2 linked regions of the Elephas maximus indicus genome follow. The protein of the gene in region 1 interacts with the protein of each later gene in a biochemical or structural test. Links are inferred from orthologs where the notes say so. Each region holds a gene or a part of one and is shown on either strand. Other genes may lie near its edges. The genes, in order: LCK and PTPN22.

Region 1 (15,441 bases):
ATAGCAAGTGGTGGGTCTTTCTGGTCTCCCCAGCCCCAACCCAAAATTCACGCATTAGCGTAAAACCTCAGATGTGATCTGGAGCCCTATGGATGTAAAAAACTCTTCAATCACTGGGGAAATTCCAAGGTTTTAGAGGTTAGCCCTCAGAAACTAAGGACAAAGACTAAATCCTTCGGGTAAAATTAATTGTAAATCCCACATATTCTCCTTAGAGACATAAAATAATTCAAAAGTTTCCCTAAGGGCTTTATGATTCCTCCCCCAAACCTAAGGGTCCAGCCTAGTTTTACTTATTTTTTTTTATTGTTGTAAAATCTATATGTAACAAAACATCTGACATTTCAACAGTCTTTACGAGTATAGTTCAGTGACATTGATTACATATTTGTCAATAGGCTGGCCAACTCAGAAAGCCGTCTCCTCTAACCCACCGACCGAGGCCTAAGCCCAAAGCTCTCTCTCACAGGGCAGTGTTACCCAAAGTGTGGCCTGTACATCACTGATGTGTGTGAGGTGATTTTAGGAGGAAATGGATGAATGTTGAAAACTGTTAGTTTATGTGTTATCTTATGTGTTTATTTTAATGTGTACGAGTTTGTGTGTGATTCTATTTATGGCTAGTGATACTGGTTTTCCATCTATGGTAGTCAACTTTCCTTTTTACCTAAATATATTAAAGGTGAAAAGGCATTCTGTGGCAGTGGTAAAAATCATGAGGAAAATGAAAATAATCATCTTAGTCTGGAAAACGTTTAAGGCTGGTGTATTAGTTTCCTTGGTAAAATAGAGGGTCAGTGGAAAATAGGATGACCCTCAATTAAACGGATTGACACAGTGGCTGCAACAACGGGCTCAAAGATTGTGAGCAGGATCGTGTAACATTTCATTCTGTTATATACGAAGTTGCTATGAGTTGAAGCTGACTGGAGGGCACCTAACAACCACAAACTATTTTCCTAGGGCTCTTGTAACAAAGTACTACAGACTCAGTGGTTTATAAGAAGAGGAACTTACTGTCTCACAGTTCTAGAGGCTAGAAATCAGGGTGTTGGTTGTGTTGACTCCTTCTGAGAACTCTGAGGGAGAACCTTTTCCATGCCTCTCTCCTAGCTTCCAGTGGCAGCCTGTGATCTTTGATGTGCCAATCTCTGCCTGAGGCAGTCTTCACATGGCTGTTTTCTCTCTGTGCCTGTCTGTGTCTCTTCTCTTTTATAAGGACACCACTCATACTCCAGTATGACCTCATGTGAACTTAACTAGTAACATGTTCAGAGACCCTGTTTCCAAAAGTTCAGTGACAGAATTCTCCCTGCCCCCCACCCTGTGTGGGACACCCAGCTTCAATTCCCAGCCAATACACGTCAACAGCAGCCACCACCCACCCCTCTGTCTGTGGCGGCTTGGGTGTTGCTACGATGCTGAACTGAGTTCAGTGGAGCTTCCAGACTGAGAAAGACTGGGAAGAAAGATTTGGCAATCTACTTCTGAAAATCAGCCAATGAAAATCCCACGGATCACAACCGCTGATCCTCAACCCATCATGTGGATGGCCCAGGAAGGGGCAGCATTTCATTCCATTGTGCATTGGGTCACCATGAGTCAGGGGCTGATTCCATGGCAGCTAACAATAACAACAACTTCCTGGCTTCAGGAGCTTCTCAGCGCAGGGATCCCGGCTCCAAAGGACAAAGGCTCCAAAGGACAAAGTCACATTCCATAGGAACTGGGGGTTAAGACTTTAGCATACCTCTGAGGGGGGAGGCACAATTCAATTCATAACAGCTGGTGTAATGAAATGCTTACCCTAGCCTTGAATAACAATTATGTTCATTTATTGAGTCCTTATTATGTACTAAGAAGCCCTGGTGGCACAGTGGTTGAGCACTCGGCTGCTAACCAAAAGGTTGTGGTTCAAACCCACCAGCCGCTCCACGGGAGAAAGATGTGACAGCCTTGGAAACCCTATGGGGCAGTTCTACGGTCCTATAGGGTCACCTTGAGTCAGATTCAACTCGATGGCAATGGGTTACTATGTACTAAGCACTATGTTAAGCCCTTTTTATATATTATCTCATATAATGTTTACAATAGCCCTAGATGCAGGTCCTGTTTTTATTCCCCTTTTGCACATGAAGTAACTGAGAGAGGCACAGAGAGTTTTAGTAAGCTCTCCAAAGGCCTCTGCCAGTGAGTGACTGGGGGACCTTGGGGTTATATTTGGGTCACTATGACATGGGCATTGTGTGTAGGACCTCATGACCAGTAGACTCCCAGAAACTTTAATAAAATAGCATACATAAATTACCAAGCTGTAAGTAAGGCTCTATCCTGATAAAGGCTCTGAGGGAAAACACACACGGAGGTACCAAAGGGATGTGTAAAAATGGCGTGGGGACAGCATCTGACCTCCTCTAACTTCACGCGGAGGAAGGAAAATAAAGATCACCAGCCCAAGGCTGATTCCTATGAGGCGGAGGTCAGATACGCCTCCTTTCTCCGCCATCTTTACCAATACTGACACCAACCCTCCCTCCTACAGCACTCTCTACTTCTCTGCTGAGTTTGGTGTTTCATTGCAATGGCCACACAGAATTCACAGACAATACTCACAATTATGGGGTTTCTTAGAGAAGCAATAGGTTACAATTCAGGTTAAGGAACACTCAGGATACAGTTTATCCATCAGAACAGCCTCTTCCCAGCCTTGCCGAAGACATGCCTCTCTCTGGCCCTTCAGCCTTGGCCCTGCTCAGGGGCACGTGTTACAGAGCTTTTTTAGGTCTGTCAATAAGTGCTCTGAGGCACCTCACTCCACCACTAAGCCTCACGGAAGGTGCTCAGCTCTAGCTTCCTGGGTTTGCAAAACTAGCCCCACCAAGTGCCCAGAAGCACTCTACTCCTCCAGCAAGCCTCCTGCCGAAAGGCACTCAGCTTTCTCGCTCTGTGGGCTAGGAAGCCTACTGCGCCATCTCCTGCTGGTCTCGCCTGCTGCTGTTTCTCTGCCACCATATCTCCCTCTTTAGTGTTACAGCTATCTCTTTACCGCCTGGGTTCAGGAGCTTCTCAGCTCCGGGATCCTGGGTCCAAAGGACGTGCTCTCTGCTCCTGGCTATTCTTTCTTGGTGGTGGTGAAATCCTCTCTCTGTTCTGGAACTGGCTCTCTTTTAAAGCAAAACTGACCCATCTCCATGGTGGGCCACAATTGTCTTATTTGCAAAGTCCCACCCAATAAGTCGGGTGGGAGTTACAAGACCATGGCTAGAAACACCACACAAAAATGAGCCATTGTGCCACACGAGGAAACTCACTGAAAGGAATTACTAGGTGCATACACTTTACTAGTTGGGGGACCTCTCTAGGAAAATACCAGCTTTAGCTTAGAATAATTGCTCTGTAGCTCTTCTTCCTCTTTAAATTGTGGCAAATATATATGTAACAAAACACTTGCCACTTCAACATCTTTAACCTGTACAATTCAGTGAGTTCAGCCATCACTACTATTCATTTCCAAATCTTTCCATCACCCTTAAAAGAAGAAGGGCCCTTCTTTATGGCAATAATTAACTAACAGTCAGTTCTGTGTTCAAGTTATTCCCAGTTTGTGATAATGAATTCATCTGTTTGCATGTAAGAGAAGACTTATCTTTCTGTTCTCTGTGGCAACAGGTCACAAAGTTAATTCAAAAGTGATATTATATCAAAAGGGGGCAGTTCAGTGGTAGAATTCTCACCTTCCATGCTGGAGACACAGTTTCAACTCCTGGTCAGTGCACCTCAGGCACCTTATAGTGTTGCTATGATGCTGAACAGGTTTTGACGGGGCTTCCAGACTAGGATGCACTCGGAAGAAAGGCCTGACAACCTACTTTCAAAAATCAGCCGATGAAAACCTTATGGATCACAAAGATCCAGTCCCATTGTGCATGGGGTCACCATGAGTTGAGGGTCAACTTGATGCCAGCTAACAACAATTGTATCAAAAAGGAACACATGAAAAAGGAGGGAACCCAGGACACATCCCTGTTTTACCCATTAGAAATTATTTACTCTGCCCGCCAACCCTGATTCTTGACTATTATATTTTGACAAGTTTCCGTGTGGGCATTGCCATTGAACAGATGCAACTTAGCCAAAAACCAAATCCTGGTCAGAGACAAAGGCCAAGATTATGTTTTAAATTATTCCTGACAGCTTTTGCCACAAGGTGGCCCTGAGTACAATGGTCTGGAGTGGAATAACCGGCCTGTTCTTGATGAAGAACACTGGACTGAGAAACCCCGGCAAGAAGCTGGGAAGCATTTTGGATGGAATATTCGATAAATGGAAACCCTGGTGGCATAGTGGCTAAGTGCTTTGGCGCTAACCAAGAGGCCGGCAGCTCGAATACACCAGGCACTCCCTGGAAACTCTATGGGGCAGTTCTACTCTGTCCTATAGGGCCGCTGTGAGTCAGAATCGACTCGATGGCAGTGTGTTTGGTTTTTGGTTTGGTTCAATAAATGAATAGGTCTATGGTTTAGGAGAAGGAAAGTACTGCCCTTTTTGAAAAAATGGACAAGAACACGTTCTGAGCCCACCCAAAGAAGATAATGTTGGTGGAGTTGATAAAAGTGAACAAGTTGTCAAGAATCAGAACTCACTGTGATATGGTTCTAAAACACTCTGGGATCACAAAACCCAGTCCAGGAGCTTTCTGCAGCCTGGAATTTTTGATCAATTGTATACAGTATATATAAGGAGCCCTGGTGTTGCAAATGGTTAAATGCTTGGCTGCTAATGGAAAGGCTGGCAGCAGTTCAAGCCTACCTCATGGCGCTGTGAGAGAAAGACCTGTCGATCTGCTCCTGTAGAGACTGCAGCCAAGAAAACAATATGGGGGCAGTTCTACTCTGTCACATGGGGTCACTATGAGTCAAAATCAACTCAATGGCACCTAACAACAACAACATACATATATGACATGAGCAGGGCCACTGGGTATGTTGAGCAGGTTGGGAATTGTGTTGAGAAGCAAAAAGTGGTGGGAGGGGGGAGGCTGAAACCTAGCCCTCAGTCCACTCTCTAAGTTTGCAGCCCGTGGGAGGGGTGACATTTTTATAGTTTGCACAAAGTGCTGTATAGACCATGGGCAAACTTGAGTTTCACTGAGAGCATTACAGGCCCCAGTCAGAGGTGATATAAACCCAAAAAAACCAAACCCAGTGCCGTCGAGTCAATTCCGACTCATAGCAACCCTATAGGACAGAGTAGAACTGCCCCATAGAGTTTCCAAGGAGCGCCTGGCGGATTTGAACTGCCGACCCTTTGGTTAGCAGCTGTACCACTTAACCACTACGCCACCAGGGTTTCCAGAGGTGATATAGGATCTATGAAATTTCTACTCTTGACCTTGGATTCCTGAGCTGGGAGAAGAGAATGTCCTGTTTCATTCACCCCACTATCTGTCCTTATTGCCGGTTCTTATTCTTATTGCCAGCAGCTCCTTGAATCTACTGTTTGTTGCTTTTCTCTTTTTCTTCCTTTTTTCAGATAATGAGAAATTTTTATTGACCTGGTTTTACTAACCTGGTTATATCATTTTGGCTACCCAGCAGGCTTTGTCAAGCTGAGACTGGGAGGATGGGACCTATATTTTGTAAAACTAGGTGAATGCATATATGATCTTACAATTACGTGGGGATACCAGCAAGCTATAAATACTCCCATTCTGTTAGATGTCCATCTGTGCATGCGGATTCATACAAATGCACAGGTGTGCACACATAAGCATGACACTCACTAAATCTTATGCCTCCATGTGCACAGACTCACCTACACTGAGTCAGGTAAATGTACACTCAGAAATGTGTATTCTAAGCAGAGGGAAAAATTGTCTTGAAGAGAAAGGTCTTTGTTAATAGCACAATGATCAAGTACTTGATGAAGAGTAAACCCACTGTCACACCTGTCCTCCCACCCAACTGCTCTCTGCATGACCACTAACGATTCTTGCCCCCCACCTGCTTTCTCTATGATCTCTCAAGATCCCCCCACATTCTTTAGATCTCCCAGGGAGCGAGGAGCAGAGGAGGGTCCATTGATAAGGAATGTAGGGGCCTGATTTGAGTTTTGCCTCTGCCAAGACCCCTCGGTGTGCTGTTGAGAAAATCACTTACCCTCTTTGATTCCCCAGCTTCTCCATCTTTAAAACGAGGCCGGTGGATTTCCTCAGTGGTTCCCAAACTTTTCCCTCCCAAGGACTCCTTTGCCACCTCCCACCCCCCTCCATGGATCTCATGATTTTAAACATTTTCCCTAACAAACTACGTTGTTTAGGCACTAATTTTCTTATTTTTCTACTTCAAAATTTGATCAGAGACTTAACTAAGTATGCAATGAGGGAACAATAACTAGTAGTAGTATAATTTCCATGTAGATTTTTGAAATTTTAAAATACCCTGAAGGTATTCAACACTATTTTCTTCTGGGAGCATGCAAACACTAGGTTGGGAACCACCAAACTCATCTCTGATGACGGAAAGATTTGGGAATGGGTATGGGTAGTGGTTGAATAACATGGTGAACATAATTACTGTCACTGACCTAACTACCCACGTGATGATTGACGAAATGGCAAATGTTTTGTTACATACATATTTACCATTAAAAAAGTTACCTTATAATTTCTCTTATTGTCAAATTCTGGGGTCTCCTGGTTGCTGCCAGGCTCTTCACGCTAATGCTCACACACTTGTAGAAGGCAAGATGTGCTTCCTTCAGTTGAAGGGCTCCAGGAGCACAAAATAAGCCATAGGGAAAGCAGTCAGGGTCAGAGTTACAGAGTTCCTCTTGGTTTAATTTAACAGAGCCTGGCCTTTTCTCACTCTCCTTAGGGATGTGAGGTCCTTTCCGGTGGGCCCAGATTCTGTCCAGGCTCTAGGTCCTCCTGCAGGCTCTCTTGGACCTCACCCCAAGGCCCGTGGCTCCTTTTCCCTTCCTACCTGACCCCAGCCTGCACCGGGTGCCATCTAGTCCCTTGATCTCCAGCCTGGGTTCCTTCTGCCCTTCTAGCTGCCTCTCCTCACCACTGCATCCCAGGACTTTCACAGGCTCTTGGTCTTGGCCCAGTTCATCCCCCGTCTCAAGCCCATTGTTTTCCCATTGTTCTCTTGCCCTTTTCCAGAGCCTCCCAGAATGTTAAGCCTGGGAGGAACTTTATTGATCTAAGTCCATAATTCATCTGATGTTGGGATTTTCTCTACTACAGGACCAACCTGTGGTTTCCCAGTATCACAAGCCATAGGATGCTTGCTATCTTACTAGATAGCTCAGTTCTTCTTAGGCTACTTCCAAGTCTCTATTGCTCCTTTCCTGGAGGCATTTGCTGCTAATTAGTTCCTGGCCATAATAAAATCAGCAAATCAGAAAGCCATTTGCAGCCACAGATGGGTGGACTCTGGCCTAGAAGGACTTCTCAAATGAACCCCCGCCCCCCCCCACAAAGGACTCCTAACAGTGGGAGGAAGAGTAGATATGTATTCTTTTCCTTTAAGACTCTTGATTTGGCTTAAAATTTCATGTCATTTTGCATTTGTTCCATAATAGGTCTATGTTTATTTAGCTATATGAATAAATTCAGGAACCACTGGCACTCTGGGAAGATGCACACCCATGACATCTGATATCCATGGGGGGTCAGGAGTATGTCAGTTTAAGAAACATGAGCAGCAAAGAGGATTATTTACCAGTCCCATTCCCCTACCCTACAAAGCAGGGGCTGGTAGGACAGAATGGGCCCTGGTGGAGAGCGGGGAGGTCTTTCGAAGTTCTAAACTAAGCTAACATTAACATAAGCTTAAATTTTTTTTTTTTATGAGAAAAGACTGATGATACCCATTTGACAGAAGAGGAAAAGTGAGGCTTTGGAAGAATGATTTCCGCAAGGTCACACAGTGTTAGAATCGGGATTTGAACTTAGTTCTCTCTGGCTCCTGGATCTGTGCTCTGACTCTTGTTAACCAGAAAACCCCATTGCTCCTCATCCCCACCTGGTCCCAGCATGGGTCTTGGTTTATTAATCTAAAATCAAAGGTTAGACCTGGTTGTTTCTAAGACTTGTGCAGATAGAAGAATTGGTGCATTAAACCTCCTCATATCATTCAAAATTTAAAATAGCAACTGGTTCTGGGTGCCTGGGGCATTAAGGCAAATAAAGCGCAGCTTCTGCTCTTGATGAACCTGGAGTCTGGGGATGGTGGGACGTGGTGGAACTAACACATAAATCAGTCATCATGGCACTCAGCGCTGAGGTTGATGATTGGGGCCTGAGCAGAATGTTGTAGGAACTAGGAGTGAAAGGGTAGCAAAGATTATTGGGAAGGCTTCATAGAGAAGGTGATATTTGAGCTGAAACTTGAAGGCTGAGTTAGAGTTCAGCCGATGAACAAAATAGAGCATTCCACGACAGGAGGACCACATGTGCAAAGCCGTGCAGTAAGAAAACAGTGCGGGGTGTTTAGGAAAGGCAAGAGGGGTTCAGACACAGGGTGCGTGAGCGTGTGTGGCTGTTTATGTGTGTGTGTGTAGCAAAATAGACTGAGGAGGTGGATTTGGTCTTGATATTGTGCCATGGCAAATTAGACTTTGTCTGAAGACTAGTGCTTTCCACACAGCTGTGAGGGGCAGCCCTAGGGAAAGAGGTGCTTCAGGGACTCTGGGGGCTTCAGGGTGAGGTGCCACTCTGCTTCAGACAGAGCAATTCCACTTTTACCTACTTTATTTACAGAGCTCTGCCTGACTTCACCTGACAAAAAGGTTGCACTGCTAAGACAAAAAAAAAGTTATGGCCAACAGGGCCACTGGAGGGTTATGCTGGGGGGAGGTAAGACCCTGTTGGAAGAAACCCTCTGAAGGAGGCTTTGTGTATGGCGGAGGGCTCTAATGCCTGACCTTTGGGGACAGGTGTCTCTGACCCAGCTTCCTAGGCTGGAGAGGGATTGTAATTAAGAGATAGGGCCTGTACACCTCTCTGGGAGGGGAGGATCTGATAAAAATTTAGGTCTTCCACAGGGCTTGGGTAAATATGTATGTGTGTTCTCTGGGAGGGAGTCCCCCAACGTGGGGGACAGGCAGAGGGAAAGAGAGAGGGGAGAGGCAGGAAGTGGGCAACTCAACTAAGAAAGGTATCTGTGGCAGTTTGCCCATCCCAGGTGGGAGGGCGGGGCCTAGGGCTTTATGTGACTTTGTTTGTGGCCCTGGAGCTCCAAGAGAGCACCAGTCAGGAGTTAGGGCCCACCATTTCAGATTTTCTGTGGCTGGTGAATGGGGGGGGGGGGGGGGTTGACAACCTCGCCCTAGGATGTCTGGTATTGGGGCTGCAGGTCTTGCGTGAAGTCCCTTCACTCCCCTTTCCATTCCCCCAGGGACCATGGGCTGCAGCTGCAGCTCGAATCCTGAAGATGACTGGATGGAAAACATCGATGTGTGTGAGAACTGCCATTACCCCATAGTCCCACTGGATAGCAAAGCCATGGTAAGAGGCAAGAGAGTGGACTTGGTGAGGGAATTAGGTGAAGTGCAGGGCCCAGGGACACTCAGGAGAAAGAATGGACCACAACTACAGGTCCCTGAAATAACACAGTTGACCATCTACCCCGGTATACAGAAAAGAGAGGCCCAGAGAGGGGAAGGGAATCTCCCAAAGTCACACAGCAAATAGCTGACAAAGTTAGTGATAAGACCCAGCCTCTTGCTCTCTAACCCCACCCTCATCCTCCACCCCACAGCTACCCATGCGGAATGGCTCTGATGTGCGGGACCCACTGGTCACCTACGAGGGCTCCATCCCTCCGGCCTCACCACTGCAAGGTGACCCCAACCAGCAGGGCCTGGAAGATGAGGCCTGTGGATCCTTGGCTGTCTGCCTTCATCTCCTCCGAACCCTCTACCCTTTTCGGCCCCTCCTGCCCCCAGTCCTGTCTCTGGCCCTATAACTCCCGACCTCCATGCTCCCAGCCTACCCCAGGCCGGTTCGCCCTGACGCCCCCTATCTTTACAGACAACCTGGTTATCGCCCTGCACAACTATGAGCCCTCTCACGACGGAGACCTGGGGTTCGAGAAGGGCGAACAGCTCCGCATCTTGGAGCAGTTGAGTGCCCTCTTCATCCCATCCACCACAGTCCTAGTGGGGTCTGTGAGGGAGGGGGCTGTTGGTCTAAGACCCCCATCCTCAGAGTTACCCGGTACCTCCAGCTACACCCTGAGGTCCTGATTGGCTGGGGGGGGGGGCCCTTGGAACAAACGGGAAGCTCTAGAGTGCTGAGCTGTGGGGAGGGAGACCTGGTGGAGCTGAGGACTCAAAGGAAGGGTCTCCTGCTCAGTCGAGGGCTGGGCAGGCCGCGCTGACCATCGCTGTGGTGCAGGAGCGGCGAGTGGTGGAAGGCACAGTCTCTGACCACGGGCCAGGAAGGCTTCATCCCCTTCAACTTCGTGGCCAAAGCAAACAGCCTGGAGCCCGAACCGTGAGTGGGGGCTTGTCGTGGGGATGGGCGGGAACACATGTGGCGACCCCAGAGTGGGTGCTCGGAGTCGTGGTGACTGGTTGAGGGGGACGGAAGAAGAAGGGACTAACAGACGACAGCCGTCGTTTCTGCCCTGCTCAGCTGGTTCTTCAAGAACCTGAGCCGCAAGGACGCGGAGCGGCAGCTGCTGGCGCCCGGCAACACGCACGGCTCCTTCCTGATCCGGGAGAGCGAGAGCACAGTGGGTGAGCGGTTGGGGGGGCCACAGCCGGGGCGGGGCCGCGGGGGCGGGACCTCAGGCTGGGGGCCTCCCAGTGGGCGGGGTCGCGGGCTGGCAAGGCAGGGCAGTGAGGCGGCATGGTGCCACCTGGGTGAGCCCGAGCAGAAGGGCATGGGTGGCGTGCGCGGCTCGGGGAAGGCGACCCCGCCCTCTTTTGCATTCTTTTGTTCATTCATTCATTCATTCGTTCAGGATCGTTCTCACTGTCGGTCCGGGACTTTGACCAGAACCAGGGAGAGGTGGTGAAACATTACAAGATCCGTAACCTGGACAACGGCGGCTTCTACATCTCCCCACGCATCACTTTCCCCGGCCTGCATGAACTGGTCCGCCATTACACCAGTGAGCAACTCCAGGACTCCCTCAGATTTGCCCCAGGCCCCTTCTCCTCTGCCGTACCAGCCTGCCCCCTCCCCCCAGTTTCTCTCAGAGTTACCCTCCCCCCATTTCTGAGCGTGCTCCTTCATTTCCCCCAGTGGGTGGGGCGGGGTCTCCGACCCTACAGTCCCAGGTGTCGGGTGACAGCCCCACACCGCCCTGCCAGTCCGTTTCTCCTACACCGGGACTCGGTGAGGTGGGCGCTGGGTGGGGTGACCCAAGGCCTGCCTTCACACTTCTCCCGTGTCCCCGCAGATGCTCCGGACGGGTTGTGCACGCGGTTGAGTCGCCCTTGCCAGACCCAGAAGCCCCAGAAACCGTGGTGGGAGGACGAGTGGGAGGTTCCCAGGGAGACGCTGAAGTTGGTGGAGCGGCTAGGGGCTGGCCAGTTCGGGGAGGTGTGGATGGGTGAGTGTGGCCCTCCAGGGTTGCCGGGGAAGGAGGGAGGGGAGGCGTCCGCAGAAAGCTCTGAGTACAGGTGCACTGGCAGCGGGTGACTCCCCCAACCCCTTCTCCCTCAGGGTACTATAACGGGCACACGAAAGTGGCAGTGAAGAGCCTGAAGCAGGGCAGCATGTCTCCCGACGCCTTTCTGGCCGAGGCCAATCTCATGAAGCAGCTGCAACACCAGCGGCTGGTCCGGCTCTATGCCGTGGTCACCCAAGAGCCCATCTACATCATCACGGAATACATGGAGAACGGTGCGCTCCAGGCGCCGCGGTCCCCTGCGCCCCTCCTGGAGGGTGGGGTTCTGCATTGTCCTCTGGCTCAGCATAAAGGGTTTCTAGATGGGCTTCCTGGGCCGCTGAAGGCGCACCGCCAAGGACTAGAACCGGACATATTATCTGGGGGCCCAGTCTACGGTGGCAGAGCCTGGAAGAGCATTCGCCTCGATCTTCCCTTACCTGCAGTCTCCTTTGCTTTCTTCAAAACCCTGTCTTGATCTCAGGATGCTAGATCTCAGGAGTTGAATGGGCCCCTAGGTTCTTTTCTCCCCTTTTTGTCCTTCCTGACCCTTGGGAGGACAGATCTGTCCCAGCCCATTGCTGTCGAGTGGTTTGGAAATCATAGTGACCCTATAGGACAGAGTAGAACTGCCCCACAGGATTTCCAAGGCTGTAATCTTTATGGAGAAGGTATGGAGAAGGAGCCCTGCTGGCAGAGTGGCTAAGTGCTTGGCTGCTAACCGAATGGTCAGCAGTTTGAACCCAGCAGGCACTCCACAGGCAAAGGATGTGGCAGTCTGCCTGGGTAAAGATTTACAGCCTTGGAAACCCTATGGGGCAATTCCACTCTGTCGTACAGGGTTGCTATGGGTCAGAGTCGACTCAGCCTCAATGGCAATTTTTACCAAAGCAGAGTGCTACACCTTTCTCCCGTGAAGCGGCTGGTGAGCTCCTACTGCTGACCTTTCTGTTTTGTTTTGTTTTCTGTTAGCAGCCAGGCACTTAACCCCTGTACCACCAGGGTTCCTTAGATCTGCCCCAAGGCCCTTTTTTTCCAGCTGTGGGTGAGTCCTTTCCCCCTCCCCCTCCCCTGGAAGGTGTTGCTGTAGGGGCTGTACTATTAGACAGAGAGCCCGGAAAGGCAGAGACTGAGTTTCTAAGCTCCACTTTGACACTGATTTGCTGTGTGACCCAGGCTAAGTCCCCATAGCACCTCCGGTCCTCAGTTTCCCTAAAGACGTTGTGTTATTAGTTGTCATCAGTTGATTCTGACTCATGGCAAACCCACGTGTGCAGCTCCTGCTTTAACAGCAGAAAATCTAAATGAGCTCACCCAGAAAGAATATAGTCATTAAGGGCTCTAGAGTCTGACTGCCTGGATTAGAATCCTGTCTTCATGGTTGTGTGGTTGTAAAAATGGCATGGGGGTGGCGTCTGACCTCCTCCTCTAACTTCGTAAGGAAAGAGGAGAATCACCATCAGCATCAGCCCGAGGCTGATTCCTATGAGATGAAGGTCAGACATACCTCTACCCTCCAACCTTTTCACCAATTGTGACACCAGCTACCCCTCCCACAGCACGCTCTACTTCTCTGATGGGTTCGATAATTTGTTGCAATGGCCACACAAAACTCATAGATCATACTCAGAGTTTTGGCATTTATTAGGGAAGTAACAGGTTAAAATTCAGGATCAGGGATAACTCAAGATATAGTTCTTCAGTTAGGACAGCTTCTCGGCCATGCGCACAAGTAGGCCTCTACCTGGTTCTTGGCCTCTCGGCCTCTCAAACCTCTTGGGCTGGCCCAGCCTCTGGCCTGGTCAGGCAAGTGTTACAAAGCTCTTTAGCTCCACCAATAAGTGTCCAGAGGCACCCTACTCTGCCAGTAAACCTGGGCCCAAAGGTGCCCAGCTTTCTCATTCTGTGGGCCATGCAGCCAGCTGCACCATCTCCTGCTGGTCTCCTGGTGCCTCTGCTGCCACTATTTCTCTGCCACTGCTTCTCGGTGTCTTGCGCCATCTCCGGTGTTACAGCTGTTTCCTGGGTCTAGGAGGTTCTCAGTGCAGGGATCCTGGGTCCAAAGGATGCACTCCACTCCCAGCTCTTCTTTCTTCATGGTAGTGAGGTCCTCCCTTTCTGCCTCTGGAATGGCTTGTTTTAAGCCTAGTGGGACAGCAAAACTGACCTTATTTACATGGCTCCACCCACACAAGGGTGGTGTGCACCATTATTAGCAAGCTGTCCAATCTCCCTGGTGGGCCACAAGCACTTTTTGCATAGTCCCACTCAGTCATTCCGTGAGAGTTACAAGGCTATGGTGAGAAAGGCCATATAAAAGTGATCAATTGCACTACAGTGGTCTTGGACTAATCACTTACCTTCTCTCTGCCTTGGTTTTCTCATCTGTAAAATGGTGATAATAATGGAATAGTAACTTCCTCATAGGGTCTTTGTGAGGATGAAAGTTAGAACAGTGCCTGCCATATGTTAGCTACATCATACATTTGTTGTTTTTATCTAGTTCTGATTCTTTGGAAATACATTATCTGTCCCTCTTTCAGGAAGGGAAAAAGGTAATTGGCTAATAGATTCTAGACATGGCAAGTAGGTTTCATTATAGGTGCCAACTTTGATTGGTTGGTAGTTGCTTGGAGAGCTGGGTTGAGAAGGATTCTGAAGCTCACTGGAGTGAGTACTGTGATTAGCAACATTTGTCACAGACACAATAGAGGAATGGCTGTATATATCCACATATTTGCTGCCTCTGGGTGAGGCCTTTGTTTTTGGTGACTAATTTAGCCCCATAGTGGGGACACTCAGGTATGCTGTCATCCTCATATGAGGTTTTAATCTCTTGGGAAGTGCCACTGGTCACAAGCTTCATCCTAGCAACTTCCATAGTGTTTTTCTTCCAGCCACCCTCCACTACGAGAGATGCCCCAAGGCCCCCAGGATCTCTTTCCATATTCCATTCAATACCTTCAGCACACAGTCATTGCTGCTTACTCTGGGCTGGGCACTAGATAAGTGAACAAGATTTCTGCTGTTAGGGAAACTCATGATTTTAGTAATGGGCACTGGGAAGACAGAGTTTGTGCCATGGGAAGTTTCTAGCACACCACAGGAATGCAGAAGATGATGTAATTTATTATGCCTGGTAGGACTAGAGTGGCTTCCTAAAGGGGGAGCTGGGCCATGAAAGAAAACTGGAATGTTCAGCAGGTAGGGATGGACAAAGACTTCAGGATGACAGCCAAGTGGTCTGTCTGAAGAATCTCAAAATTGTATAGGGTGGCTGTGGTGAAGGAGGCAGGGGTAGGGGAGGGGAGGAGAAGCTACAAATGTGGACCATGCAGGACTTTGGATCCCTGGCTGAGGGGTTTGGGCTTTACCCCATTGGTGACAAGAAACCTACAAGATGCTCCCTCTCAGCCTTCCTGTGCTCAGGGTGAGGGTGCCCAGAAAAGACCTTCACATATCTTGGGCATCCTTACCCTGAGAACATACCCTTCTATTTACACCCCTTATTCTTCCTTTCCACATGTCAAACACTGCTTCTAGATTCCCAGCTGGGGAGAAGGGTCTGGTGGCCTCCCCCTGAGTTGACTTGGGTGAGTTCTGCCGGAGGATCTTTCCTCCTTCTGCTCGCTCTGCTCACTACTCATGCTCCTGCCCACAGGGAGCCTGGTGGATTTCCTCAAGACCCCCCCAGGCATCAAGCTGACCATCAACAAACTCTTGGACATGGCTGCTCAGGTAAGGAGCCTGGGGAAGGCTGGGCCTGGGCACTGGCCACTGGGGAAGGATGTCTGGCCCAAGACTGCTGACCTGT
Region 2 (15,483 bases), about 94 Mb from region 1:
GAACAATATCCTGTTCAAAAAAAAAAAAACTATTATAGAAGACGTTAAGGATGGAATAAAGAAATTCAGAGAATCCAATGAGAATGAAAACACTTCCTAACAAAACCATTGGGACTCAGTGAAAGCAGTGCTCAGAGGTCAATTTATATCAATAAATGCACACATCCAAAAAGAAGAAAGGGCCAAAATCAAAGAATTATCCTTACAACTTGAACAAATAGAAAGACAGCAACAAAAGAAACCCTCAGGCACCAGAAGAAAGCAAATAACACAAATTAGAGCAGAACTAAATGAAATAGAAAACAGAAAAACAATTGAAAGAATTAACAAGACCAAAAGCTGCTTTTTTGTAAAAATCAACAAAATAAACTATTGGCCAAACTGACAAAAGAAAAACAGGAGAGGAAGCAAATAACCTGAATAAGAAATGAGATGGGCGATATTATAACAGGCCCAACTGAAATTAAAAGAATCATATCAGATTACTGTGAAAAACTATACTCAAACAAATTTGAAAACCTAGAAGAAACGGATGAATTCCTAGAAACACACTACCTACCTAAACTAGCACGAACAGAGGTAGAACAACTAAATAGACCCGTAACACAAGAAGAGACTGAAAAGGTAATCAAAAAACTCCCAGCAACAAAAAAGCCCTGGCCCAGATGGCTTCACCACAGAGTTCTACCAAACTTTCAGAGAAGAGGTAAAACCACTACTACTAAAGGTATTTCAGAGCATAGAAAAGGACAGAATACTCCCAAACTCATTCGAGGAAGCCAGCATATTCCTGATGCTAAAACCGGTTAAAGATACCACAAAAAAAGAAAATTGTAGACCTATATCCCTCATGAACTTAGGTACAAAAATCCTCATCAAAATTCTAGCTAATAGAATCCAACAACTTATCAAAAAAAATAATTCACCATGACCAATTGGGATTCATACCAGGTATGCAGGGATTAAAAAAAAAAAAAAATTTTTTTTTTTTATGCAGTGATGGTTCAACATTAGAAAAACAATTAATGTAATCCATCATATAAATAAAACAAAAGACAAGAACCACATGATTTTATCAATTGAGACAGAAAAAGCATTTGACAAAGTTCAACACCCATTCATAATAAAAACTCTCAGCAAAATAGGAATAGAAGGAAAATTCCTCAACATAATAAAGGGCATTTATACAAAGCCAACAGCCAACATCATCCTAAATGGAGAGAGTCTGAAAGCATTTCCCTTGAGATCGGGAGCCAGACAAGGATGCCCTTTATCACCACGCTTATTCAACATAGTGCTGGAGGTTCTAGCCGGAGCAATTAGGCTGGATAAAGAAATAAAGGGCATCCAGATTGGCAAGGAAGAAGTAAAAGTATCTCTATTTGCAGATGACATGACTTATACACAGAAAACCCTAAGGAATGCTCAAGAAAACTACTGAAACTAATAGAAGAGTTCAGTACAGTATTGGGATACAAGATAAACATACAAAAATCAGTTGGATTCCTCTACATCAACACAAAGAACATTGAAGTGGAAAGCACCAAATCAATACCATTTACAGTAGTCCTCAAGAAGATAAAATACGTAGGAATAAATCTTACCAGAGTTGTAAAAGACTTATGCAAAGAAAACTACAAAACACTTCTGCAAGAAACCAAAAGAGACCTACATAAGTAGAAAAAAATACCTTGCTCATGGATAGGAAGAGTTAACATTATAAAAATGTCTATTCTACCAAAGCGATCTTTAGATTTAATGCAATTCTAATCAAAATTCCAACAACATTTTTTAATGAGATAGAGAAACAGATCACCAACTTCATATGGAAGGGCAAGAGGCCCCGGATATGTAAAGCACTACCGAAAAAGAAGAACAAAGTGGGAGGCCTTGCCCTACCTGATTTTAGAACCTATTATACCACCACAGTAGTCAAAACAGCCTGGTATTGGTACAACAACAGATACATAGACCAATGGAACAGAATTGAGAATCCAGACATAAATCCACCCACATATCAGCAGCTGATATTTGACAAAGGCCTCAAAGCAGTTAAATGGGGAAAAGACAGTCTTTTGAACAAATGGTGCTGGCATAACTGGATACCCACCTGCGAAAACATGAAACAAGACCCATAACTCACACCATGCACAAAAACATGCTCAAAATGGATCAAAGACTTAAATATAAAATCTAACGATAAAGATTGCGGAAGAAAAAATAGGGACAATGTTAGGAGCCCTAATACATGACATAAACAGTATACAAAACATTACTAACAATGCAGAAGAAACACTAGATAACTGGGAGCTCCTAAAAATCAAACACCTGGAATCGACTCGACAGCACTGGCTTGTTTTTTTTTTTGGTTATGCTCATCCAAAGACTTCACCAAAAGAGTAAAAAGACTACCTACAGACTGGGAAAAAGTTTTTAGCTATGACATTTCTGATCAGCACCTGCTCTCTAAAATCTACATGATACTGCAAAAACTCAACTACAAAAAGACAAATAACCCAATTAAAAAATGGGAAAAAGATATGAATAGACACTTCACTAAAGAAGACATTCAGGTAGCTAACAGATACATGAGGAGATGCTGACAATCATTAGGCATTAGAGAAATGCAAATCTTCTACAATGAGAATCCATCTCACTCCAACAAGGCTGGCATTAAAATGTTGGAGAGGTTGTGGAGGGAATGGAACACTCATAAATTGCTGGTGTGGGAATCATGGCCTAAACAAGTTGACATATATATTGAATACTGTCATTCAATCCATGACAGCAGCCTATTGCTTAACCACTGGGCCACCAGGGCGTCTTCATCTTATGACAAATGGCCTTAAATTATAGTTATTTATGTAGTTATCTTCCCTACTAGAATAAAGGATCCTTGAACAAAGACAATTTGTTGTACACTTCTGTAGCACTCCACCTCTGTTCTCTTGGATGTATATGGATCCTGTAAATATTCATTAAATGAATGAATAAATGACTCAACATTGAATGAACAATCAAACAAAGAAAAAATGAGATTTCAGGCTTTATTATATTTTAAACAGGATGCTGTAGCAGGTTGAATACTGTCCCCCAAAATTCATGCCTACCCAGAACTTCAGAATGTAATGTTATTTGGAAATGGGGTCTTTGCAGTTGTAATTAAAGATTTATTATTTATTTATTTTTTTGTACTTTAGATGAAAGTTTATAGAGCAAATTAGTTTCTTATTAAACAATTAATATACATACTATTTTGTGACATTGGTGGCCAACCCCATGACATGTCAACACTCTCCCCTTCTTGACCTTGGGTTCCCTGTTACCAGCTTTGCCCCTAGGCCAGTGTGCCCATTTAACCTCGTTCTGCTTATGAGCCTGTCTAATCTTTGGCTGAACGGGGAACCTCAGGAGTGACATCAGTACTGAGTTAAAAGGGTGTCTGGGGGCCATACTCTTGGGGTTTCTCCAGTCTCTGCCAGACCAGTAAATCTGGACTTTTTTTGAGAGTTAGAATTTTGTTCTACATTTATCCCCAGCTCTGTCCAGGACCTCTACTGTGATCCCTGTCAGAGTAGTGGTGGTGGTAGCCAGGCAGTGTCTAGTTGTGCTGGAGTCAGTCTGATGGAGGCTGTAGTAGTTGTGGTCCATTAGTCCTTTGGACTAATCTTTCCCTTGTGTCTTTGGTTTTCTTCACTCTCCCTTGCTCCAGATGGGGTGGTAGTTAAGGGTCTTTAGATAAAATCATCCTGCATTTATTTATTAAATAAACATGAGATATAAGGAACATGTGAAAAAATAAGAAAACTTCCAGAACTGAATATATTTATATTAGAGGGATTCAGACTAAGAGAAGGTCATGATAAAATAGAGTTAGGGGTAGGATTTCTGAAGAAAAGAGTAACTGGGCTTTGTGAAAGAATTGGCCCTAAATCCAACAACTGGTGTCCTTATAAGAAAAGAAGAGGATAAAGAGAAGAGAATGCCATGTAAAGATAAAGTCAGAGAATGGAGTGATGCATCCACAAGCCAATGAATGCCAAGGATTGCTGCCAACCACCAGAAACTAGGATAGAGGCATGGAACAGATTTTCCCTCAGAGGCTCCAAAAGGAACTAACTCCGCTGTCTCCTTGACTTCAGACTTCTGGTCTCCAAAACTGTGAGAGACTATATTTCTTGTAAGCCACCAAGTTCGTGGTTATTTTTTAGGGCATTCTCAGGAAACTAATACAGATGCCATGGTTCACCTAGAGTCCTTACTCTCTCCTTAAAAAAAAAAAAAAAAAATTGCTTCAATTGTAAGCTATCAGTTGACATTTGCCTCTTGAGAATTATGTTTCTGAAACCTAAGGAAGAGTATGAGTCCCTATATGGTATGTGGGAAGCTGACTGTGAAGTCCACAGGGACTCATACTGCTGTGGAGCAGGTGTATTGAAATGCTTAATGAGGTTTTAGAAAGTTGTAGTGACAAAGAAGCAGATTGAAAAACGGGTAGGGGACTTTCCTGCTGAGGATGATGTTATGAAAATATGAGCAAATCAAACAAGCTTCATTAGAGATATTTTATTATTCTGTGTTAGTTTATCAAAGGAGAAACACTGGCCAATTCTGGAGATAAAGAATGTCATTTCTCTCTGGCCATTACAGCCCTCTGGGGCTGGACCCTGCACCTTAGTCACAGCACCATACCTTGGTTTACTCCTTTTACAATAATAGCCTTGCTGCTTGGGCAGAAGCACTCAGGGAAGTACTCTTTGCCAGGTTCCTGGGTCTCCCTGCAGGTAAGATCCATCTGCTTCTAGCACAGTGGAAGTACCTAGCCAGAGACTAGAAGCATAGACTGTGCCAGGCAAGAGATCTGAAATAATTAATGTAGTGAGTTACCGAGTCAGTGAATCTCTCACCAAAGCCTAGCCATATTATGTAATATATTTGATCACAACAGACTTTTTCTAAGTATCTTAGGGATGCTCAAGACCAGGTTAAACACTGTGGGTTATGCTAAAACATAGAAGATACTATCATTGCCTTTGATAAGCTTACAGGAGGCAATTTTGTCTACTTTGGAATGTATAATGGGTCTCATGATTACATAAACTTATGAGATGCAAGGAACATGTAAAAAAAAAATTAGAAAGCTTCCAGATCTGAATATAAAGATTTATATTGAAGGGATTCAGAATAAGAGAAGGTCATGGTGAAATTGTTATAAGAGGATTTCTGAAGAAAGGGGTAACCGGCCTTTATGAAAGAAGGTTATTTATCTTGATGAAAATTAAAGGAAACAGTGAGAAGTAGTAAAAGAAGTGGTAGTGTAATCAACAAGATTTGTGGGTGATGTGGTTGGAGAGGTTGGATCAGGACATTTGATTAGAAGTGGCTTGGTAACAAGTTGAGGTATCTGGGCTTGTTCCCATAGACTATGAGCAGGCATTTTGGTTTTTTAACATTAAAGTGGAGTTTTAAGAAGTTTCATCCAGCCCTGGTTACAAGGAGACACTGAAATGGGAGAGAGAGAGGTACGAGACCAACTAAGAGCTTATGGCTGCAGGAATCCAGATGCGAAAATGGGAATGGTTAACACAGAAATGGAAAAGGTAGGTTGAAACTAAAAGACATGGAGGAGAAAGAACCAATAGACTTTGGTGGCTGTTATAAATTGAATTGTATCCCCCCAAAATATGTGTTTTAAATCCTAACTCCTATACCTGTGGTTATAATGCCATATGGGAATGGAGTTTCTTTGTTGTATTAATGAGACAGTATTAGTGTAGAGTGTGTTGTAAGTCAATCTCTTTTGAGATATGAAAGAGCAGGTTAAGCAAGTGAGCAGAGATGGGAGAACATAGATGCCATGCCACATGAAGGTCACCAAGGAGTCAAGAAACGGAAGCTGAAAAGAAACAAAGACCTTCCCCTCAAGCCGACAGAGACAAAGAGGCTTCCCCTAGAGCCTCCTCGCCTGTGGGAAAATTAATTTCTGTGTGTTAAAGGTACCCACTTGTGGTATTTCTGTTATAGCAGCAGCAGGGCAGTGACCAACAGGATGTTTACAAAGGACAGAGTGTTAAAAAAAAAAAAAAAAAAAAAAGACTGAGTGTTTCACAGATAGTAGTACACACACACACACACACACAAAAATAGCCCACATCAAATCAATGACCCTGGGATGCAGAGAAAGGCAAGAGGAGTGAAAGTAAAGCTAAGACTGAGTAAATGGCTTCTCCAGGGTAACCCACGCCTCTTCACAGAGAGAAAGATGTTCTGAGAAATAATGTCTTTCCTACTGAGCAGTTTATCTTGCCCTAATAATATCCCCTGATAGTCTCTGATTAAAGTTTATGGTCCTCTAATTCCTGATCTCCATGATATTGATGTTTCTCCCTTCAACTGGCACATTCTCTTCTTGTTGGAGCAGGTGACAGTATGATCAACACCCGTTATCATCTTCCTTCTGAACAAACACCAGAGACGTGTGAGGCAGCTGTGAGTGGTCCCTAATTCTTCACTCACTCCGCTTCAGGCGCTTATTCAGAATTTTACTTCCTACTAGAGCTCACCTTTGATGGTTCTGATACGGTGTCTTTTACTGCATGGAATTGTTGTGTTCACTTAGGGTTTACGCCAGACTGGTTTAAATGTTTCATTGTAAATTCTTAAATTATGTATTTGCCAACCTTTGGTGCATGACTTGTTCCCCTCCCCAACTCTTGATTGTCCCACAAGATACAAATGAGTCAACACAATCTGTTCCTATTGCCCTCCAGTATCTGTAGAAGGAAGTGTGAAAGATTAAGCAGTAGGCTTAGATTTGTTCAAAATAAAACTGAAGTGTTTTTGTTTTCTCCTTCAGGTTGTTTTTTGCTCACTTGAGTGGTCTGCTCAGGAAATGGCCTTGCAGCTAAGTGAGTTTTTGAGGTTTAGTTATTTCACGATGTTTCTATGCCTTTTGGTTTTACAATGGAACAGACTCCTAAGTCTTGCTGCTTGCTTTTAAAAAAGAGATACAGTTCGGCAAAGACTCTATTTTCAGATCCTGAGCTTTGGGGTAAAAGAGCGATGGATGACATCTAAGCAATTTTTTCTTTCTTATCTCATATCTATCTCTACCTCTTCCCTCCCTAAGAAGAGACGATAACATTGAGATTGTTCTGAAATAGGGGCTTGAGGAAAATTGATTTAAATTTCATCTTATGAAGCATCTGTAATTATTTAAGTTCTGGTTTTGATGGAAGTGAGGACATTCTAAGGGGACACAGAGATTATGAAACTGTATCTTTTATTTGTTCAAAACAGAATCATTTCCTTCTAGGGTTATACTTTGCTACTTGGCAAACAAGAAAGTTAGTTTGGAATATTTTTATTTTTATCAATAATTAAGTCTATTTCTTTAGTTCTGAAATGCTTTATTAACTGGTTTAGTGTGTATGTTTTTTAACCATATTCTGGCTTGTTCACTATTGTATGCCCAGCCCCTAACACAGTGTTTAGAATTTAGTGGATACTCAATAAGAATGAATTAATAGTTTTTTTTTTTTGCATGTGTGTATGTTTTAATTTAAAAAGTGGTATAAGAAAGTTTTTAAAAATCACCCTTAATCCCAGCACACACATACAATTGATTTTTTGCAACTTTTAGTTTCTGTTTAACTATGTACAGTATATACTTTTACATGATTATAGTTATTGTGAGCTTTAAATTTTGTATTTTTTAAAATGTAAACCTTTCCCTCTATTTTATATGTTTAAAAATAACCAGATCAAACACTGCATTGTTTAGAGCAGAGAGATACTCTCCTTTAAGGCTAGTGGGGTTAATTTGAGAAATGTGATTCTATTCCAACAAATATTGCTGAAGCATTATGGTCCACTTTAATTTACATGGCTCAGTATTGAAATTCTTTATTTGGAATATTGGCTTCAAGTTGCCTATAACCACGCTATATCAATGACCTTTCTTTTTCCTATTGTAGGGCTCAATAAAATGAAAGCAGCTTAATAGCGTCCAGAATCAGGACTTCCTAAAGGAAATTTGAACAATGTTGCAAAACAGAAAGGATTGCTAATATTTACATAAAAAAAAAGAAAATACATAAGGAAGGCCTAATGATACATTTCCCAGTTTTCTTCAGGATGTTGTTAACATATTCTTTAGTGAACTTCTACACCCACACAGAAATGATGTGCTCGTTTCTGGGTGTTCTCACACCGATTTAGACACTCTTGGGGAGCCCTGGTAGTGCAGAGGTTAAGAGCTCAGGCTGCTCATCAAACGATGGACAGTTCAAATCCACCAGCTGCTCCTTGGAAACCCTGTGGGGCTGTTCTACTCTGTCCTATAGGGTCGCTATGAGTCCAAAGTCGACTTGACCGCACACAACGACAACAATGTTGTTAACATATTCTTTATTGAACTTCTACCCGAAACAGAGATGATGTGCTGATTTCTGGGTGCTCTCGCACTAATTTAGACACTCTTGGACAGATCTGTACCCACTGAAAAAAGAACTTAGGCAAACTGAGATGTAGAAGCCTTTTCTGGAACAACTTGCCTGTCAGACAGGGCTGAATTGCCACATGCACGGCATGACCTCCTGAAACAAAGGCCTTTTCCAAGACACTGGCTGCAGAGTAGAAATGTCTTCTCTAGAAACAGGCTTTCCACCGTGAAAGTTATATTGCTGCCAGCAAGGTGATTGTTTTTACTTTTTTTCTGTTCCCTCAGTTAAATCAGCCTTACTTTTTTTTTTACTAACGGGGGGATAGTATGCCATTGCTGGGTCAGTGCTCCTGCTGGGGGTCACTGTGCTCTGAATCCTTATTGGCCAATACTTTCAGTCTTTACATCCAAGTGAAGCTCATAAGGCTCCTGGGGGTGGGGGAGGTCCTGAAATCCACACTTCCCTTAATGGAGGTCAGCACTTCCCCAGTCCTGCGAGAGGTATAGACTGTCAGAAGCAGCTGACTTTGCTTCATTCCAAAGAGAGTTTGAGGTCTATTGGGGGAACTTAAGAATAAATACTCTGAAAAAAATGCCTTCTCTGATGAACAGAAGTTTGCCCCTGATCATATTGGCAAGAAACCTTTGGAGAAAGACTCCCCGCAAAAGTTGAGTGACTCTAAAAGTGTCCGTCTCCCTTTCTGGGCCTAACTGAAGCAGAGTTCATTTGGAAATGGAGGATATAGAAGGTGACACCAGGGCCTTTGTGCTCACTGGTGAGATGGAGAGAGGCAGAAACCATGAGACCTCTAACTCTGCCTTTTCTCTGTGAAGCAAGAAGAGAGGTGAATTTTGCTTAAATGTAGACTGGAACAGTCTCAGAGCTAAGCAGACCACACATTATTTTCTGGTTAGTCTCTTGTTTGTTAAAAACTTGAATTGTAACCAGGCTCCTTTGTTGAAAACGAAGGCGCTAGGGCCCTGCCGTGAGATGATGGTTTTGTTGTGTGACCACAGAGGCTGGTTACGCACTAATTTCCTCTAGGGCTTGTGATGAAGTCAGTAAACCACAGCCTTCAGCATACTCTGCTCAGGAGGCGGCAGTGGCTTCTCGGTGGTGTCTTAGCCATGACACACATTTGACATGCCCTCCTTCAACCTATTCATAGATTGTCTCTCTTGCTCTGCAGCATGGACCAAAGAGAAATTCTGCAGAAGTTCCTGCATGAGAACCAAGATAAGAAAATTAAGAAAGAGGAGTTTGCCAATGAATTTCTGGTGAGTCCTGTGTGTAACACTCTCATGGTAGTTACATAGGCTATTTAACTGACTCTGATGGTCCAACTCTCCTAGACCAAATTGCTCTTGGATTAAAATGAATATTAGACCTCAGACAGGCAGGAGGGAAGGAAGGCAACCTAAACGTTTGACTTCCCTCAGCAGTTTGTATGTATGTTAGGTGTTCTCTCCAAAATACTGACTTTGATATTTTGTTTGCTATTTCTTGACACTTGACTAGGAATCCTACAGAAGACATACACAGTTCCAGTGGAATAAATACTAATATAATTGAACATACAGAGTTCCCCAGGTATCTAAGTTGTGGTTAATGATTCAAATTACTAATTTTATTTTATATTAAGAGGAAAGAGACCAAGACTAGCTTTTCATGGCTCAATGAACATTTTTATCCTCCCCTTGGGATTCCATTTGGATGACATAATTTTTTTTTAAAAGCACCAAAATTACCTGCTGCCTCATCACTTTTCTTTTTGGTGAAGAAAAAAATATTAGAACATACGTTTTTGCAATAACAGGGTTTCCTTAACCTTCTTTTGCTTGGAGATGTGAAAGGCTAGGATGGAGAGTAGGAGCAAGTGAAGGGAATGGAGAGAAATATTGAGTACGAGGCAGCCTAGGGTCAACTGGATTTGATTACCCAGAGCAACACTGCATCTCCTTTGAGGGAACTGTGGTTATTGCTGCAGTGATCAGCTGGATAGGCCTTATTGATCCTATAACCAAGTACATCAGATCAAATAGGGTATCTGCGAGTACCTATCATGTATTTTGGAATACTTCCAGCTGGTGTTTCAGAGCTGTAATAACTTCAGACCTTCGATCTTCAGCTGTGAAGAAGAAGTGGAAAAAACAAGGGAACCGAAGCACAAAACCTAGAATTAAATCATGATTCTTTTGCCAACTAAATTCTAGACTATTTGACGTGTTCCTTAATCTTCCCGAGCCTTTGTTTCAAATTTATAAAATGAGGATACTAGTTTAGTCTTTCCTACCCTCACAGGATTGTTGTGAAGATTTAACAGCAATAATAATTAAATATGGCCATTTATTCAGTGGTGTTTATAGAGCACCTACTATGTACCAAGCACAGTGCTAGGCACTGAGGATACAGCAGTCAACAAAACAAACAAAACTCTTTGTCCTCATGGAGCTAGCTCTCTGGTCCACCACAGTAATGTAAAAACACTCTGTAAAGACTTGAGTGATTAGCTATTATGATTGAGTGGTTAATATTACGACAGAGACCAGTTCAACTCAGATAATATTGTGGTATCATGAAAAAAGTGCTCTCAGTGCCATGGTCCGGTCAGTCTGAAGCCTGTCTGAAGTCAGTCTGAAGGGAGGGAGGTAAGGAGGACATCCTAGCCTATGTGTCTCTTTAGAAACGTGCCTGCCTCTGGCCTATAACTCCTAAGCCAAATTCACCCAAAGCAGAGAGGTAAAAAGTGAGGGGCAACTTCTGTTTTATTCTGGTTGTGTTTTTTTTAAATAATGTAAACTATATCCCTGATATTTTACCTTTTCTTATCTCCAAAAACTAAACAGAATCCAATGCTGTTGAGTTGATTCTGACTCGAAGCGACCCTATAGGACAGAGTAGAACTGCCCCATAGCGTTTCCAAGGCTGTAAATCTTTATGGAAGAAGACTGCCACATCTTTTGCCTGTGGAATGGCTGGTGGGTTTGAACTGCCAACCTTTTGGCTAGCATCTGAGTGCTTTAACCACTGCACCACCAGGGCTCCTTTCTTATCTCGGGTCATTATAATCTCTCACCCAAATTATGACAGCTGCCTCGTAATTGGTTTCTCTGCCTCTGGTCTTGCCCCACTTCAATCAATTTTCCATTCAACACCCAAGTGATCTTTTAATAATACAAATCTGATCATTTTTTCCCTAGTTTGTCTTTTTTTTGTTTAAAATTGTGAAATGTACTAACACATTTAGAGAAGTACGTAAAAGAAGTACAGTATATTGACTAATTATAAAGCAACTACCACCCAAGACAATAAACAGAGCATTGCCAGACCCTAGAAGACCTCTGTATATCCCCTTCCCATCAGGTCCCTACCCCCACCCTGCCCTGCCCAAGGGGTAATCACTATCCTGACTTTTATATTAATCATTTCCTTGCTTTTCTAGGTCCTGATTTTAAGGACCTTGTTTGGGGGTGGTGATTAAGTGGAACCTCACTGTTCACTGACTCATGTCCTCCAGTGGAAAAAGAGTGTTGCTCTCAGCCCCACCTAAAGGTTAATCTGAGATACCAGAGGGTGTAGCTTTGGGGAAGTGAGGGAGTGTTGAATGGGGCCAGGTTGCTTGCTTGAGCAAGGTAAATACTGCCATTAAATTGGAGGGTTTTCCACCTGGTCACATCCCACATCCCACCTTAATCCCTTAGTATATTCTCCCAGAATTTGATGATTCTGGAGCTTGTGAACTGACTCTGTGACTCTGGGCTACTGCTAGTCTGAAGGATGGTGCCTTTGTGCAAATTACCAAATGGCTCCTCTGCTTCCAGGTGGTGGCCCTGTGACCTTTTCTACCCCCTGCCTTCAGGTCCGTGGCTTAGGTTTCAGTCCCCACTCTCCCCACACCTCTTGGCCGGGTATCTCTATTCAGAGCACAACATTCATAACTAGATGTGGCAGTCCTGTGTGACAGCTGAAGCCAATAGCATGCTTAGGTCTTCTTGTATCAAGACTAAATTTAATCTCTCTAGATGAAGCTGCCACAGAATGCCCCTGTAAGGTATTCATGCATTCATTCAAATACAGGAATACGATACAATGTTCCTGCTTTGTGGAGCATGTCTTCTAACTGGAGAGGCAACATTAAACAACTAATTACTAATTACAGTTGTGATAGCCTTTGATAGGGTGTCAAGGAAGTATCACATTCACTATCTTATTAGTCAAAAAACCCTGTGAGGTAGCTACAATTATTATCTCTGACTTACAGGTGAGAAAACTGAGGCCCTGAGAGTAATCAGCCTAACTTATTCAGCTGTTAAGCTGTAGAGACAGAACTTAACCCAGATTTGTATTATTCAGAGCCTGTGAAATTAATCTTTATGCAACAGTGCCTTGCTTCATTTCAACCAATAACACTGAGTCCCTCAAAGCCTGAGGGTAAATCCCTAGGTAGCATAGTTTTTAAATAGCAGGAACAGCGGTATACGACCACATTACTGAAAATTCCATGAAGGTACTTTTAAAAAGCCCTTATTGTAATTATTCTTATAAACCAATATTATCACAAGGTTAAAAAAAAAATGAATAAATCCACCACAGTACTAGCATTCCAAAAAACAAGTTTTATTTTGTGGATCTTCTTGTCCATTTATATAATGCTTTTTTATATCATAATTATAGCGTAATACAATTTTGTATTCCCACTTCACATAGCATTATACCAAAATTATATACCATGTTAATTCAAAATATTTATAGTATTTAATGGCTAAGGAGCCCTGGTGCTGCAATGGTTAAGCGCTTGGCTGTTAACTGAAAGGCTGGTGGTATGAACCCACCCAGGGGCTCAACAGGAGAAAGACCTGATGACCTGCTTCAGTAAAGATTACAGCCTAGAAAACCCTAAGGGGCAGTTCTACTGTGTCACATGGGATCGCCATGAGTTGAAATGGATTCAACGGCACCTAACAACAACAATGGTGCAGCATGGCATGATGAAATAATAACAATCATAATAACCAATACTTCTACAGCCTACTATGTGCCAGACATCACTCTGAGCACTTTTATATATCAATTCATTTAATCTATTGAGGAAGGTAGTGCTATTATTTTAATTTTATAGATTAGGAGACTGAGGCACAGAGAGGTTAACTGACTTTCTCAGGGTCACACAGCTAGTAAGCAGTATAACTGAGTTTTGAATTCAGGTAGTCTTTTTTACCATCTGTACTGATAACCACTTTGTAGTCACATAATTCTGGGTTTAAATTTAGGTTCTGCCTATTATTAGCTGTGTGGCTTTGAACAAAGTCATTAAAAAGTGGGAATAAATAACATTCACTTTGCATAACTGCTGTGAAGATAATGGGATAAGTATACAAAATGCCTGACACATAGCAAGCACCCAGATAATTTAACCATTCCTGTACTGTTGGACATTTAGGTTGTTTCTAATTTTTCATGATTATTGATAACTGGAAACCCAGGTGGCATAGTGGTTAAGTGCTATGGCTGCTAACCAAAAGGTCGGCAGTTTGAATCCTCCAGGCACTTCTTGGAAACTCTACGGGGCAGTTCTACTCTGTCCTATAGGGTCGCTATGAGTTGGAATCGACTCGACGGCAGTGGGTTTGGTTTGTTTTTTTTGATAACACTACAATGAATATGTCGTGCATGTTGTTTTTCCCTTCTTTTGGGTTACATCCTGAGGCTAGATCCCCCAAGGTGTTATTATTGGGTCAAAGAGTATTAGCATCTAAGTGTTTAAACCCTTTGTCTTCAAGTCGATTCTGACTCATAGTGACCCTACAGGACAGAATAGAACTGCTCCAAGGATTGGTTGGTGGATTCCAACTGCCGACCTTTTGGTTAACAGCCGAGCTCTTAAGCACAGCTCTACCAGAGCTCCTCTAAATGGTTAAGTACTGCCAAACTTATTTCTAAAAGAATTTTTTTAATTTTCAGTATCTGAATTTGTAATTTTCTCTACCACTTTGCCAGTCTTAATTTAATAACTATAAAAGACAATAATAGATACAATTTATTGACTCCTTACCATGTGCTAGGCAATCTGCTAAGTGTTTTACCATATATGATCTCAGCTCATCTCTACAACAACCCCAAGAGGAAAGTATTATCTTCATTTTACCTACGAAATGGCAAAGCTGGGGTTTGAAACTGGTATGTTTGTTTCCAAAGTCTCTTAACTTCTCTACTTATGCTGCATCAGGTAAAATCATAACTTTTAAAAATATAATTGGTGTAAAATAGTATTTTATTATGTTAATTTGATTTCTGAGTCTGAAAATTTTCCATGACTATTTTCAATCTCCTTTTTCTTTTATAGTATAACTTTTCTGCTCATCTGCTTTTCACAGTCACAATAGCTAACCCTTAACAGTGCTTCAGGCTCTGTGCTAAAGCGCTTTACAAACAGAACCGCGTTTACTTCTTAAAGAATCTCTTAAAATGGCTAAAATAAGTCCTGCATAGTCCAACCCTCAAGTGCTGCCTTGAACATTCTTCACTCTCTTTTGCCTAGGTAACAATAATTTTTCAGATCTCATTAAGGATGTCACTTCCCCTGAGAAGTCTTCTTGACCTGAGTAGACTGAATTTCCTATTATAAGTTCTCATTATTCATTTTTTTGTAGAATACCACATTTCCAATTTTAAAAGAATATTAAGAATGGTTAACTCCGGGTAGTGAATTATAGGTAATCTTTATCTTTTTGCTTTTCTGTATTTTCTAAATTTTTGTCAAAATACATATTACTTTATTTAAAAATTTCCTTTAGTGTTGTTGGATTCCATTTAAAGAATGGAATTTGTGTATTTATTTGATTTACTTGTGTAATTATTTGATTAATGTCTGATCACCCAACAGATTGAAGCTTGACAAAGGCAAGGCTCATGTTTAGTCTGCTTATCCTGGTGTCCTTGGTGTCTGGCATGGAGTAAACACTGACTCACAGAGAGGTTAAGTGACTTACCTAATAAGGTCACGCAGCTTATAAGTGGTGGCACTTGGATTTGAAGTAAA

The links.
Region 2: of the proteins of LCK (region 1) and PTPN22, one has a biochemical effect on the other in vitro, tested with the Homo sapiens proteins (3 studies listed by IntAct, with this or other methods). The link is inferred for Elephas maximus indicus from reciprocal best matches to the Homo sapiens genes LCK and PTPN22.

The regions. Positions count from the first base shown.
Region 1 is NC_064821.1:73,153,582-73,169,022, forward strand, and holds the start of LCK (tyrosine-protein kinase Lck), read left to right. Parts: upstream 1-9,514; intron 9,515-9,767; coding exon of another isoform or gene 9,768-9,780; coding exon 9,781-10,130; intron 10,131-10,405; coding exon 10,406-10,504; intron 10,505-10,645; coding exon 10,646-10,749; intron 10,750-10,976; coding exon 10,977-11,126; intron 11,127-11,417; coding exon 11,418-11,570; intron 11,571-11,683; coding exon 11,684-11,863; intron 11,864-15,288; coding exon 15,289-15,365; intron 15,366-15,441. UniProt on the Homo sapiens protein: Non-receptor tyrosine-protein kinase that plays an essential role in the selection and maturation of developing T-cells in the thymus and in the function of mature T-cells. Plays a key role in T-cell antigen receptor (TCR)-linked signal transduction pathways.
Region 2 is NC_064821.1:166,855,537-166,871,019, forward strand, and holds the start of PTPN22 (tyrosine-protein phosphatase non-receptor type 22), read left to right. Parts: upstream 1-9,545; 5' UTR 9,546-9,634; coding exon 9,635-9,721; intron 9,722-15,483. UniProt on the Homo sapiens protein: Acts as a negative regulator of T-cell receptor (TCR) signaling by direct dephosphorylation of the Src family kinases LCK and FYN, ITAMs of the TCRz/CD3 complex, as well as ZAP70, VAV, VCP and other key signaling molecules.